3 linked regions of the Kluyveromyces lactis genome follow. The protein of the gene in region 2 purifies or fractionates together with the protein of the main gene of each other region. This does not show direct contact. Links are inferred from orthologs where the notes say so. Each region holds a gene or a part of one and is shown on either strand. Other genes may lie near its edges. The genes, in order: SIS1, KAP123 and YRA1.

Region 1 (4,445 bases), on a different chromosome or scaffold from region 2:
TTTGATATCCATAGTTTTGATCTTTTTATTAAATTACTACATCAACGAAACCACAATAAAATGCTATGTCGCATATCCCTTCTTTAGAGATATTGATTAAAGTTTCATACATCGTTAAGAGCAACACAAACAGCACCTTTGTGATGTCCTCCATACTGCCTTACAATTTCACTTGTGGAAAGGTCCCATAATCTTACATAATGATCAGAGCATGCTGTGACTAGGTATGCACTGTCTGCTGAAAACGCACAATCCCACACCCATCTCTGATGACCATCTAAAGTGGTTTCAAGTTCAAAATTATCCTCTATATTCCATACTCTAGCTGTATGGTCTGCTGAACATGTTGCTAAATGTTTTACATCCGCCGATAGTAGGACCCTGGTAATATATTTAGTATGCGATTTGAATTTAGTTACGGGCTCCAAAGTGGAAGCATCCGTGTGATGAGGCATCTTCCATACATAACAGTTCCCTTTGTTATTTCCTGCAACAAGCATCGATCCGTCGCTTGCAACGGACAACGACTGTAATGGCGTGTTATCTTCTGGTGTCAGCTGGTTTGTGCACTGGTTTTCACCAAGATCCCAAATCCTGATATTCCCATCCTGATCGCAGGAAATCAATTCCCCTTGGTTCGGATGTATCGCTACTTCATTGACAGGTGCATTATGCTTGTAATTCCTTTGCACAGATGGGGACCGTACATCCCAAACCTTAATAGTCCCATCTTCACTAGACGATACCATCCATCGATTTTCCTGTTGAAATGCAATCGACGTTACGTTCCCTTTATGGCCTTCGAAAGAGGACACCGGATTTGGATTATTCGACCGTATATCATAAAGACGGACGTGTAAATGACCAGCAGCAGCCAAATATTTCTTATCGGACGTAATCTCTAATCGATTCACTTGGGAATCTGCATGTTGAATGGTTCGTGAACAGACTCCAGTCAAAGCTTCCCAGAACCTAATTGTGTGGTCGTATCCAGCACTCGCTAGAATAACAGACATGGCAATATTGAAGTTAGTCTGACCGTACACAATAAGAAACCTCTACCTTGTTCACAGGGGAGAAAAAGCCTTGAAAACTCCTCAGATTCCTTAAGACTTTCTTTCATCTAGTATATTGCATATTCTTTATCACATTAAACCATAATTTGTCAATATTCATGATTGAGATATAAACAACAGCAATTGAAACAAAAGTGGAGGCATAGAGATAGCCACAAGATTGTGTAGTGGCTAATGTCATTGAATGACACCTGATTTGCGGCTTTGTGATGACAGATTTGTATTGGTGGGAAACTTCTATATCACGTGATTGTCACATGAATCTCGCGTGCTTAAAGCATTCATGTTTTTTTACTTCTAGAAGGTTCCAGGGTATACTCTGAAAGAACATGATCGGTTGCAACAGAACTGAACCTGAATATATAGGAATGAAATGTTATATAAAGGTTTTCAAAGAACAGGATGTTTTTCGTTCAAAGATTATTGGTCGTTGGTATTCGATCGACATGTTTAGAGAAGAGTTTTATTGCATCTTTTGTCCCATTGGTATCTCGAAACAGTGTAAACATTAACTGATTCTTTTAGTTTACTCTAATTCTTCTAGTTTAGATAGAGCTAATTTGAACTATCATTCGACATATATACAAAAGGACAATTACCAAATTTGAAACGTCGTAGGAGTATGGTTAAGGACACTAAATTATATGATTTGCTAGGAATTTCGCCTAGTGCAGGTGAAGCCGAGATTAAAAAAGGGTACAGAAAGGCTGCCTTGAAGTATCATCCAGATAAGCCTACAGGTGACACTGAGAAGTTTAAAGAAATCTCTGAGGCTTTTGAGATTCTTTCAGATGCTCAGAAGAGGGAAGTTTACGATACTTATGGTCTAGAGGCTGCTCGTGGTAATGCTCCTCAATTTGGAGGAGCGGGAGGGCCTGGTGGGCCTGGTGGGCCTGGAGGATTTTCTTCTGGTGGGTTTGCCGGGGGACATGCGTTCTCACAAGATGACGCTTTCAACATCTTTTCACAGTTCTTTGGTGGAGGAGGTGCTGCCGGAGGTGCTTCTCCATTTGGATTCTCTGCTAGCGGCGGGTCTGGTGATGATTTCGGGTTTGGAGGCAGTAGTTTCCATTCCTCTTCGGGCGGCATGCCAGGCGGTATGCCAGGTGGAATGCCAGGTGGAATGCCAGGTGGATTCAGTAGACAACAGGCTAGACCTGAAGAAGAAGTTGTTCAGGTCAATCTACCTGTGTCCTTAGAAGATTTATTCAGCGGTAAGAAGAAATCATTCAAGATCACAAGAAAAGGCGCCGGTGGTGTGTCCGAAAAGAACCAAATTGACATCCAATTGAAACCAGGTTGGAAAGCAGGTACCAAGATTACTTTCAAAGGTGAAGGTGACTATAATCCAAGAACTGGTGGTAGACAAACATTACAATTCGTTCTACAGGAAAAACCACACGAATTTTTCACCAGACAAGACAATGATTTGATTTACACTTTACCACTTTCTTTCAAAGAATCTCTTCTAGGTTTCTCCAAGCAAGTACAAACCATCGACGGTAAAACAATTCCAATCACAAGAACGCAGCCAATTCAACCTACTCAAACCTCAACATATCCCGGACAAGGTATGACACTGTCAAAGAATCCTTCCCAAAGAGGTGATTTGATTATTAAGTTCAAGATCGATTATCCAACCTCTTTAACACCTCAACAAAGACAAGCCATTATGGATAACTTCTGAATGAAAGATGAAGAATGTCTTTATAACGAAAATAAATCATAAAAGTATGACATGACGATTGCAAATTTAGACTTCTGACGGTGATCATGTTTACAATTCAACGTCTGCCAGAAATATTATCTTCCCACCATTATGGTTCTATGTCATATGTTTTCATTTCTTTAAATGTTTACTCCCATTAATTATTTCCAATTCAAATGTTCCATTCACATTCACTTCAGCAGAAGCAATCTTATCGTATGGCTACATTGTCTGTCGATTAATGCGTTAACTTTCTGACCACACTGTACACTATTTTCAAAAAAATATCCTTCGGTAAATGAAGCACGCAACATAAGTTGAGGACGCAATATAATATGCGAGAGAATACAAGGAGAATTATTCAATGATTGTTAATACTGGTAAAGTAAGAAACGGGACGTTTCATTGTGACACCTCGACTTCTGTTCACAATGTAACCATTTGCATAGATTTTAACCTTCATTTACCTTTTTATTGAGCAAATGACATCATGCAAATAAAAGACATACCAATCTGCAAGTTTCCCGACTTCTATTTGGTTCCGAACAATTGATGTCTGCCAAAAAAAAAAAAACTCCAAGTATTATTATCAAATCTTCTATCTACCTCATACATTTACCATTACTTTTTGCCATTACTTCAATTGAAGACGTAATGGTGTCTTCACACGCGCATAAATAATTTACAAATTTATATATACGAATACAATGATATACAACATCGACACAGGGTACAAAAAACAGTCGTGACGAAATACGTTTTTCAATGATTAAAAATATTCTACAGTGTACATAACCTAAATGATAAACTCTATGCAGTTTTGAAATTTCGATCGATGATATGAAGGACTTAGATTGTAGTCGTTTATTTCTTTGACTTCTTCTTCTTCTTCTCGGAAGACTCATCATCGTCAGCCTTTCTCTTCTTCTCCTTCTTCTCCTTCTTTTCCTTTTTCTCCTTCTTGTCCTTCTTCTCCTTCTTTTCCTTCTTGTCCTTCTTTTCTTCTGGTGTCTTTGATTCTTCCTTTGATTCTTCCTTCTGTTCGACTTCCTTCTTTTCTACTTCTTTGATCAGTGGTTTTTCTTCTGATTTGGATGCAGGGGCGGTAGTTGGTTCAGCATTCTCCAATGAAACGTAAGTCTTCTTCCAGGTCTCTGGAGTATTTTCGTTGGCACGGCCATATTTGTCTAGCTTACCGTCAGCCTTCATTTGTTTTTTCTTTTGGGCAATTGGACCAAGACCCCATCTTCTTGGATATAGGTCTCTTTCCATGATACATCTCTTAACCTTGGCAACAACTCCGTGGTCACAAGTAGCTAAATCGACAGTAGACATTTGAGCAATGGCAACTGCAATGGCCTCACCCTTGGTGGTGATTAATACAACTTCGTCATATAATTCAATACCTTCCTCATAACGAAGTAGACCTGGAATCATCAACTTGGCACCGTAACAAACAGCGTTAACAGCAGAATCTTTGACAACAATTCTTTTGTAACCGACTAATAGAGTTTCTAATGGTTGAATGATCTTTCTTAGGTAGGATTCATCCCTGGTGTTATCGTATACCCATTGTGCATCCATAACATCATGTAGGGTGACCAAGTTATCGTTTTCGGACAAAGCACCGGATCTAACACGACGCAACTCTTGCATATGGC
Region 2 (5,577 bases):
AGAATCACCAACTCCACTCTCATCAGCTCATGATAAGAACGGTGTGTCCACAGAATATTATAAGGAACTCATTTTGGAGGTTTTATCTTCAGAATACGATTCCGTGGAACCTACGCTACCCGAAGCACTTTATAGGCCTCCATCCAATTTGGACATAAACTTCTTAATCGATGACCAAGGACATACGTCTTTACATTGGGCTGTCGCTATGTCAAACATTCCATTGATTAGAGTACTACTAGTCCAAGACGCAGATCTTCTCCGTTGTAATGATAAGGGCTTCAATTGTTTGACAAAATCAGTCTTTTACAACAATTGTTACAAAGCCGTTTCTTTCCAACAAATAATATCTATGTTAAATCCATGTCTAGTAACACCAGATGCAAATCATAGATTACCCTTGCACTACCTAGTCGAGCTGACAGTAAACAGGTCCAAAGAACCTCATGTCATAGAGTATTATATGGACACTATATTGGATACACTTGCCAAGGAGGATGAGAAACTGCTGCGAATGTCACTCAATCACCAAGATACATTGGGAAATACCCCTTTACATTTAGCAGCCCTCAATAAGAACGTTGATTTATGCCAGAAATTAGTATATTTCGGCGCGTCACCAGATATTCTTAACGGTGAAAATCAGACAGTATCTATGATACTGTCTCGTTTCACAGTTCCAAATATATTTCAACCAACGCTTCCTGCCCAGATTCTACAATCTCCACCCAAGACAACTTTCTTGGCGAACACTCCTCGAAACAGTCAAGAAGAGCGTATAGATGACACCAGCAAATACGACTTCAATGACACCACAGTGGATAGTATACAGACTTCAACTAGGAAAAACAACATAGTCGACCGTAACGATGTCTTATCAATTGATAAAATGAAAGGATCCTTAACTCCAGCAATTAAATTGCATCCACCATCTCCACCAACATTAGTGAAGCCTGTGAACAGATTACGTAGACCTGATGCTCAAAGAGTACGAAAAGAACAAAAATCATCATCTCCAACCATCAAGTCTACTGCTCAGTTGGGTTCTCTTACTCAATCTTTGAGCAACATAATTGAAGATAATCTTGATAATCTTCAATATAGTATACAGCTGAAAGAAGAGCAAATCCAAGAGATCGAGAACCAACTGAAGCACACCAACGCAAGAGAAAAGGCACTCTCCGATTCAAATAATAGAAATACGTTGGGATCCGCCCAAAATCAGCTGAAGATGAAAAACATTGAATTGGATAACTATATGGAGCGGTCGCAAGCGCTGTCACTTGCTACATTAGTACAGGATGAGGAAAACTGTCTCTCAAAGGACTCATCTACGGAAGCTACTAATGAATTCGAAAAGAAAGAATCCATAAAATTGATGGTAGAATTGTGTTACAAGCAGTTCAAGAGAAGACAAATGATTAGGAATATCAAATACGCTAGAGATCAACTGGTTTCAGATAGTAAAATATCAAAGTTCAGAAAACTTATTGGTATGTCCATAGACAATATCGATTCTAAGTTGAATGACATCGAGATGGACCTAAGCTCTATGGAAAAGACTCAGTCTCGCTAAGGACTTCTAACTTTTAATGACTTTTATTTACGCATACGGTGCACGTATAAAATGCACACGGCCCATTACTTAGACTTTACCTTTATAAGATTCATCTTAAATATCATAACTTACGAAACAAAAAGCAACAAGCCCACTGTAGCTAACATAATTTTTTTTTTGGTTTCTGGTTTTCGGTGTTGATATTGAAAAAGAATTAAATTTGAGATGAGATGAGATGCGATGCGATGCGATGAGGTAAAAAAGATTACTGTTCTCATTTCTGTTGCGAAAGGATCTTGAAGGTTGCTCATTTCGAATAAGTATACCCTAGCCCATAGGAGTAAAGACTGTATTTCTTCTTTTTGTTGTGAAACCTTTTCTTAACAACTTCTCAGGCCTGTGATTTTATTATCAGTTTTATAAACCGGTACGTCAGTCCTTAGTGCGCCGCTAACTCATTACATACCCAAAGCTACCCCCCCCCCCCCCCCCGTTATGGATCAACAGTTTGTGGCTCAGTTGGAGCAAGCTTTAGGTGCTATTGTTCAACCTACAGGTTCTTTGAAGGATGCTACCAAGACTTTGCAATCACAATTTTACACTCAATCTGCTGCTTTGCCGGCTTTGATTCACATTTTGCAAAACAGTTCAAATGATGGTATCAAGCAACTAGCCGGTGTTGAAGCTAGAAAGCAAGTTTCTAAGCACTGGGGTTCTCTTGATGCTGCTACTCAAACAAGCGTAAAGCAATCCTTGTTGAACTCTGCTTTTAACGAAGGAAAAGATGCTGTTCGCCATGCTAATGCCCGTGTCATTGCCTCCATTGGATCCGAAGAATTAGACGAGAAGAAATGGCCAGAGTTGATTCCAAACCTTCTACAAGCTGCTTGTGATAGTAACCCAAAAATTAGAGAAACTGCTATTTTCATTATCTTGTCCCTTTTGGAATCCTTTAATGCTAACTTGGCTTTACACATCGATGATTTCTTGAACTTGTTTGCTCAAACTATTAACGATTCTGCATCATTGGAGACAAGATCTTTGTCTGCGCAAGCCTTGAGTTACGTCTCCTCTTTAATCGAAGAAGAAGGTGAAATCAATCCACAATATGCCGCTAAGTTTGCTTCTTTGATTCCTTCCGTCGTCCAGGTTCTGGATGCCACCATCAGAGAAGGTGATACTACTAACACAAAGCTAATCTTCAACTGTTTAAATGACTTTTTGTTATTGGACTCTCAATTAACTGGTAACACAATTGCTGATTTGGTCAAATTGGCTTTACAAATTGCCGTCAATTCCGATGTCGATGAAGATATTAGAGTGTTTGCAGTACAATTTGTTACTTCTGCTTTAGTTTACAGAAAATCTAAAATAAACCAAGCCAAATTGGGTCCAGAGATCACTTTGGCTGCTTTGAAGGTTGCTTCGGAAGAAATTGATGTCGAAGATGAGTTGACTAATGAAGACGAAGCCGGTGAGAACGAAGAAAACACCCCAGCATTGACTGCTCTCAGATTGATTTCTAACGCTTCTGGGGAACTATCCCCATCTCAAGTCGGTGTTCCTATTATCGAACATTTGCCAACCATGTTGTCCTCTTCTAACCCATTCGAAAGAAGATCAATCTTGTTAGCAATTTCTGTATTGGTTACTGGCTCTCCAGATTACACATTATCTCAATTCGATAAAATCATTCCTGCCACTGTTACTGGTTTGAAGGACTCTGAAGCAGTCGTGCAATTAGCTGCTTTAAAATGTATTGTGCAGTTGAGTACCAATTTGCAAGACGAAGTTGCTAGATATCATGAGCAATACTTGCCTCTAGTGATTGATATCATTGACTCTGCTAAGCATGTGGTTATCTACAAGTACGCAACTCTTGCCTTGGATGGTCTATTAGAATTCATTGCTCACAATGATATCATTAAATATTTGGATCCATTAATGAACAAATTGTTCCAAATGCTGGAAACCCAACAATCACCAAAATTGAGAGCTGCTATTGTTTCTGCAATTGGTTCTTGTGCCTTTGCTGCCGGATCAGGATTTGTTCCATACTTCAAGACATCTGTTCAATACTTGCAACAGTTTATTCAAAACGTCTCCCAAATCGAAGGTTTGTCTGAAGACGACATTGAATTGAAGGCCTTGACTTTCGAAAACATCTCCACCATGGGTAGAGCGGTCAAATCCGCTGCTTTTGCTGAATATGCTGAGCCATTGGTGAACGCTGCCTACGAAGCTATCAAAACTGATTCTGCTAGATTGAGAGAGTCTGGTTACGCCTTCATTGCCAATATGGCAAAGGTTTATGGTAAGGACTTTGCTCCTTTCCTACAAACCATCATTCCTGAAATATTTAAAACTCTCGAACAAGAAGAATACCAATTTAACTTTGACGGTGACGAAGACTTCTTGGAAGGCATCGAAGATTTGGATGAAGAAGAACTACAAAGCAAATTTACCGTAAACACTGGTATCGCATACGAAAAGGAAGTTGCTGCTGCTGCTTTGTCAGAATTAGCCATTGCTTCCAAAGAACACTTCTTGGAATACGTTGAACCATCTTTGAAGGTTTTAGCTGAGCAAGTCAATGAGTCATATGGTTTGAAAGAAACGGCTCTACACTCCATGTGGGCTATTGTTAAAGCTGTTTTGTTGACTGCCAACTTGAAAGAAGGTGAGTATCCAAAGGGTGTTCCATCAGGCTCTTATGTCGATGCTAGCGCGTTAGCCGTTATTCAAACTGTTAGAGAAGTTTCTTTGAACAATGTTATCGAAGAGGTTGAAACTTCTATGGTTATCAGCGTGTTCCAAGATCTTTCTGAAATGTTAAGATTGTTTGGTCCAATCATCATCATGGATAACGGTGACTCTACCCATTTGGATCAACTATGTCGTGAAGCTTTGAGCGTTTTGAAGGGTGAACATGCTTGTCAAACCATCCATTTCGAAGAAGACGTCCCAGAAGACGAAGATCTAGATGCCTCAGAAACCGAAGCTACTTTGTTGGACGTCGCTTTAGACATCTATGTCGCTTTGTCTACTAACTTGGTTGGTGGTTTCGCCCAAGTGTTTACTACAGCCAAGCCGGTTATCTTGCAATTGTGCCAATCCAAGTCCAAGAACAAGAGATCCTTTGCCGTCGGTGCTCTATCTGAAATCGCTTTAGGCATGAGAGATGAAAACCCATTCATTCAAGAATTGTTAGAGGCTTTGATCATCAGTTTGACTAATGATAAATCATTAGAAGTCAGATGTAATGCTTCATACGGTGTTGGTTTGTTGATTGAATATTCATCATTCGATGTTTCTGCTATCTATTCTCCAGTTCTAAAATCCTTATACGAAATTTTGAGCGTTGCTGACGAAAAGAACTTAGCTACTGAAGATGATGAAGCTACCAAAGAAATCGTTGACAGAACTTTCTCCAACGTATGCGGATGTGTGGCCAGAATGATCTTGAAGCACCAAAACCTAGTTCCACTGGAACACACCATTCCAGCTCTACTCTCGCACTTGCCATTCAACACTGCATTCGAAGAATACGATCCGATCTTCAAATTATTCTTGAAGTTATTCCAAGAGCAAAACAGCACCATCATCAATGAAGCACCAAAGGTCATCGCAATTTTCGCAACTGTTTTCGAGAAGGAAAGTGAAAGAATTGAATTAGAGACGAACTCTACCTTAGGCAGAGAAGAAAACTTGGAAAAGAGAAAACAGTTCCAATCCGAAGAAATAAAGCAACAAGTCATCGAATTATTGAAACATTTGAACCAACAGTTCAATGGTGCTGTTGCCCAAAACCCGGTTTTGGCTCAAGTTATTGCTTGAATGTCCAAATCTCTTTTTGTCTTTATTCCTTTCTTCTTATGACACATGCTGCACCAAAACAAAACGAAACACCACTCGTATTTATGTATTTTAGTATTCCATATAAATTTTGTATACTACATTGTATGGAATTTCATCCCAAGATATAACTTTTGACATGAAAGATGCTGCCCAACTGTTGC
Region 3 (5,577 bases), about 1.6 Mb from region 2:
CATACCGATAGCAGTCATTAGAGCCATGCCACCCCTAAGAAGAAAGGTTTTTAAGAGAGTGTATATCCAGGTCGACCCTAGACATCCATCCGCTTTTTGAAGGTTAGTAAAGTGATGAAATTGATCGGAGCGTATAAAGCAACCTCGTGCGTTAGAAATTCTGTATCAGTGTCATCTTAACATACCAGAAAGATTTAGGAGTATTCATGCTGAGAGACGGTCTATTTTTCTTGTCTACTTAATTCGTCCAATCCGAAGATACTAGTCTCTTCTCTTGCAGGTTGCAGGTTGCAGGTTGCAGCTTCTCGAACTCGGTCAATATCTAGGCACAAATAAATAAATGAACAGGTAGTTGCTTAACGTTATTACAATCTGTATGATAATGGTGTGTGGAATAAGGTGAAATCACCATGAGGTCAACATTTTTTTTCTTTCTTTCTTTATTTCCGCAATGGGTTACGGCGAACCTTTCCTCAGCGAAAGAAATCTAAGGAAAATAAAGATTTGAATTCAAATATGAGCAGGAATCAGAGATACTGAGCGAAAGTAGTAGAGGAATCAGTTAAATAAAAAACAGATTGAGAACAGCATCATAGAGCGTGTTGATAAAAAAATAGATCCTGAACGGAAGAAGGAACTATTCGGATTGAGTGACGAACCATATACCAACTTTGAGTTTTTATTTTTATTTGGCTTTTGGTTTCTAGCATTTAGCATCAGAGAGCAAACTTGGTAGATACAATCTTTTCAATAAAAATGTCTAACCCATTCCAAAATATTGGTAGAAACTTTGCGTATTTGTGTATTGGTCTTACTGCTTCTATAGTTATCGTCAAGACCGTTGTACGTGATGCTAAAGTTTCCAAGTTCGACCCGCAGAATTTGAGTGGGGATGAGAAGAAAGATGCAGATTCTTATTACGCAAACCCTGCTCTGGTGAAACCAGGGTTCCCCATGAAGAAAGAAGAAGAAACCACGGAAATAAAAAGGAAAAGTGAATTTGAAGGGGCCGGTTTATCCTACAATACAAGAAAGCGTGGTGATAGATTAGGGTTCTTGGATAGAAGAAGTAACGAATGATTAATAAGCAAGATTTTAATTCTGCAAGGCAATACACGAACCTACCCATCACACTTATTTATTAACAACACACACAAACACTGCAATGACTAAATGAAACAATCTAGAAATATATCCTGTTCTTTACTGAAAGATTCCTCATGTAAATAGTGCTTAAAGAAAGTGAAATAAAATACAAACTATTGATATCAATATTATAATAAAGTTTAGCTAGGTAAGAAAAGATAGGCCGAGCACATAAGAAAGATACGGATTTTTTTGATTGAGAAACCACGCAGTCACACCGGTTGAAATTGAGGAATATAAAACAAACAACAAATGAACTGAACTTCTAGGATGTCTAACGAATAGATTCGAAAGCAGAGACAATCCGTTCGTTATTAAGGAAGACTTTATAATTTCTCAGTCCAGTAATTTCAAGAACGCAATATCTTATTTGGATTCTTCAAAATAGTCAGCCATTTCCTTGTCTAAGTCTTCCAAAGACTTCTTTTCTGGCTTAGCTCTTTTCTTTTGCTTAGCAGCAATGGCTTTCTTGTTTGGACCGGCTGGTTTCTTCTTAGGTTGAGGCTTTGTTGGAGCTGCCTTCTTGTTTGGCGCGGCAGCCTGAGCATTCTGTACAGGGCGGATTCTGTCCAATAATGTCTTTCTGCTTGGATCGACAATCAACGTCAATCTCAATTTGGATTTACCACCATCAATTGGTGCGTTGTGGAATTTCTTTACAGCTAAGTTAGCTTGTTCTGCGTTCTTAAAGGTAATAGTGGCCATACCAGTGGAGTTACCCCTTTCGTTGTAACTCAACAAAGCTTTTTGGACACCACCGACTTGATGGTTGAAAAATTCCTAGTAATAATAAGGGAGCAAAATTTTTGTTAGTGAAACTATTCATAGATAACTGAAAACAGCGGAGTCTTCAATGAATAGTCCTGTAGGAAATCATTCATGTTTACAATTCATCATACATGTACGACCCGGTCAATTCTGTCACGATATGAAGTTAACTCTTAAACAGTAAAATATACCACAAATGGGTTTCATTAGGTTTCGATTTGAAGGTAGGATCTAACATGACAACCAACAAAAAGTAAGTATACTATAACTTTTCTCTTTTCTATTTTTTTTCTTGGAGAGTAAATCTGGAGTCAGTGATGAGATCTCAACCAGACAAGATAGAACATGTTCATAGCAGAATGACAAATGAAAATCGATTTCAAATCCAGCATACCCATCTCGATTTATTACATTCATTGAAACTTGCTTTTCAGTGGCGTTTCAATTTTTGCCAATTTTTTTGAAGTTGTCAAACACGACGACCTTGCTAAAAATGTCGCACTATCTTGAAGATTGAGGCATCAAGCTAAACACACACCAAGGAAGAGGTCAAACTTAATTGTTCCTACAAGGTGTACACCAAGTAATCTTCTTCAAATTCCCAGTTCTTTGCAAAGAGTTAGAAAAAAGAGAATAATACACTGGGCATCATTAAAAAATAGATGCATTGCCAAATGTAATAAATGGTAACAGAAACTCCAGTGACACATAATGTCACAAGAATAGAAGATATGACGAGAAAAAATAGATATACTTCATCTTTTCGGCATTTCCCAATCGTGATTCACTACCGTTTCTCCATCAAATAAAATGTCGTAAATAAACGAAGTTCAGTGCATAATTTTGATGAAAAGTTCTGTCAACTTAGAGGAGAAAAACGGAAAGAAATCACAAAGGAAGGCTTGCTGAAAAGCGAAACCCAGCCAATTGGATAGCTAATTTCGTTTTGTTATATTTCATTAGCTCAATAAAAACTAACTCTGAAATAAATTATTCACACATCAATATCAGACCTCAAAAAAGGTATCGATCGACCGTTTCTTCTTAATCAAATACACGGGAATGTATGATCGTATAGTAAACATAAGGATGGAATTCCACAGGATATATCCGTTGTAAACTTAAATTAACCGCAAGTCTTATTGCAGTTTGATCCGATTTGTTTTCGCAATCAGTACAGTAGCATCTCGACAGTCCTTTTCATTAGAAAAGAACCTACTAAGAGGCCATGGCTAAAATGGGACATACTTTAACAGCGTCTTGGTTAATGTCTCTTGGCAAACCCTCGACATTAACTCTAGTAGAAATAGGAGCTCTTAGCAAAGCTGGCACTAGGGCAGCAGCAGAAGCAGCCTTCTTTGGAACTCTAGAAGGACCGGCACCTGTTCTGGTACGGCTCTTGTTGACTTGCTTAGAAACCTTCTTTGGCCCGGCCTTGTTGTTTCTTCTGGCATGCTTGGCTGAGCCAATAATTTCATCTAATGATTGATCTAGAGCAGACATTGCTTATGAGAGTGTAAAAAAAAGAATCTGATGGGTAGCTGATTCGAAGGAAATAACTTATAAAGTTGCTTGCCTTATGAAGTAGAAACAAAGAGAAATTTGAAGAACAACTTTCATGGAAAAAGGGAAAAAAATTCCAATGGGCAAAAATCTATGGCTCCTTTTATACAAAAAAAATCAAATATCAAACTTTTTGTCCAATTCTTTTCAAGAAAATCAAAACCAGCACGATCAACAAAAGAGGGTAACGATTGTCATTTTCTAAGATCTGCTGCATATGTAACGGTGTACTTACTTCATTCCTGACATGATAAAGATTTTTGTGAATAACAGTCATTTCAAAGACTAAAGATAATGCTCCATAATTTCGTCGAGGGGACTCATTTGTTTCCAACAAACATCGTTTAGCTTTATTTCGTGAATTGTAAGGCCGCAACAACTGAAAAGTAAAATCCGTTGATATATAAGATAGACAGCTATTCGATCAATCTTATGTTCAAATGGATCGCTTCCGCAGATAGACCCAAGTAGGCTGTGGCGGGAATCTTACAACGCTTAGTATCCAAACATTCTTCTATGCCTTCCTGTCATAAGCGAATAGAAGCCGAATTGAATCCATTTACAGTCCGGGTAATTTCATGATTATTTCACTGTTAGCGATATTATTTGGTTCATTTTATTTGATCGGTTCAAAAAGAAAGACGATGATGGGTCAAAATCGTGCTATTTTACAGCGAAATGATACAGACGTCTCACTGGCAAGTTAAATCTCCGAACGACGGTCAGGTGGTAAACGGACTGACTCTGTAATTAAAGAGGAAAGACCGCGCGTTCACCAGTTATGAAACACTCTTCCAAGGTAAAAACAGGATTGAACTTTCACCTACGACAATCTCAAAATGAACACACACACTCTAACCCCAATGTTCAATTTATAATAGCGGCAGAATTTGATAACAAATCTGGGCCGATAATAAAGCATCAATATCCAAAGACAATCCCTGGTTTTAAAACTATTGGGAGTGATTCCACTTGTTCTCATTTGGCCAGTTTGATGATACCGAATAGTGTGGAGAACCATCCAGGTAAACCAGATTTCACTGTTTTTGTCTTATACAAGAATCAAAACGTTTACCAGTTGTTTCCTGTATCCAAAAATAAGACTAAAGGTACTGACTTGGATTCCTCACTGATAATTGAAGAGGAAGACTTTGAAGAAGAACAAGAAAATGGACTGCGAAGTGGTAAGATTGGATCAATTAGAGATGATAGGCATTTAGAGGAAACTGAGCCACCATTATTTTTCTTAAGTGTCGTGAACACGTTTTTAGATAATTCAAATGATCGCGGTGCTTATATAAAAGCCATTGCACTGGGTACTACTATGACAAACTTTTACACATTTAAACCATTGTTAACAATGGTGCTTGATCACTACATGACATCGAATAACAACGATATTAAAATACTTATAGACTGTTTTGACATGATTAACAGTCTTGATCTCTCTTTGGTCATAAGATTCCATTCCAATGTTGTACTACAAAATATTCTAAACTCTATCAATGACGAAGAAATTACATCCAAAATATTTGATGCAAACGAAAACTCTTTGCCCAATATACTTAGGGTTAATGAGCTGCCCAAAAAAGACAAGTTCGGAAATGAGATTCAATTTAAAAACAGGATTCTTGAATATAAGTTCTCTACTTTCCGTCCCAAAGTTCTACCTGCTTATTTTACGAGGATTCCTTTGCAAATTGATCTAATAAAATATGATGCCATAAAAATAGATACGAATTATAATAATTCAATTTTGAAATTACTTGCGAGATTAATTCCTCTCTTAACTGAAATTCCCGATTCCACATATTCTTGGAGATTAATTATTAACTCCACAGAGCGTTCCAAGGATGAATTATGCCAATTTGTACTCGCCCTATCCAATCTCATAAACGGGTTTTCTTCGGAGTATTTTGATAATTCCTCTATTTGCATTTTTCCATACATGGAAATATCAATAATCGATATGTTCAGAGAAAACTTCACGGAGGAGTTCACGAAAGGGAATTTTTTCAGTGTAGTAGGTGTATCAAACCCTATTTTCCAATACCAAGTTGATGCATGGGACTTTTACTATGACTTGGATAGTGACTCCTT

Evidence for each region.
Region 1: the proteins of KAP123 (region 2) and SIS1 purify together in Saccharomyces cerevisiae (affinity purification with mass spectrometry; 3 studies listed by BioGRID). This does not show direct contact. The link is inferred for Kluyveromyces lactis from reciprocal best matches to the Saccharomyces cerevisiae genes KAP123 and SIS1.
Region 3: the proteins of KAP123 (region 2) and YRA1 purify together in Saccharomyces cerevisiae (affinity purification with mass spectrometry; 4 studies listed by BioGRID). This does not show direct contact. The link is inferred for Kluyveromyces lactis from reciprocal best matches to the Saccharomyces cerevisiae genes KAP123 and YRA1.

The regions. Positions count from the first base shown.
Region 1 is NC_006040.1:409,933-414,377, reverse strand, and holds SIS1 (type II HSP40 co-chaperone SIS1), read left to right. Parts: upstream 1-1,698; coding exon 1,699-2,763; downstream 2,764-4,445. Other genes in the region: TOR complex subunit LST8, read right to left, coding at 105-1,016; pseudouridine synthase CBF5, read right to left, coding at 3,649-4,445. UniProt on the Saccharomyces cerevisiae protein: Required for nuclear migration during mitosis. It is required for the normal initiation of translation. Might mediate the dissociation of a specific protein complex of the translation machinery. Essential for viability.
Region 2 is NC_006041.1:1,848,521-1,854,097, reverse strand, and holds KAP123 (karyopherin KAP123), read left to right. Parts: upstream 1-2,053; coding exon 2,054-5,395; downstream 5,396-5,577. Other genes in the region: SBF complex DNA-binding subunit SWI4, read left to right, coding at 1-1,576.
Region 3 is NC_006041.1:254,799-260,375, reverse strand, and holds YRA1 (RNA-binding protein YRA1), read right to left. Parts: upstream 3,418-5,577; coding exon 3,163-3,417; intron 1,927-3,162; coding exon 1,513-1,926; downstream 1-1,512. Other genes in the region: KLLA0_E02795g (uncharacterized protein), read right to left, coding at 1-27; COI1 (Coi1p), read left to right, coding at 757-1,080; AFI1 (Afi1p), read left to right, coding at 4,259-5,577. UniProt on the Saccharomyces cerevisiae protein: RNA-binding RNA annealing protein. May have a role in pre-mRNA metabolism. Component the TREX complex, which operates in coupling transcription elongation to mRNA export.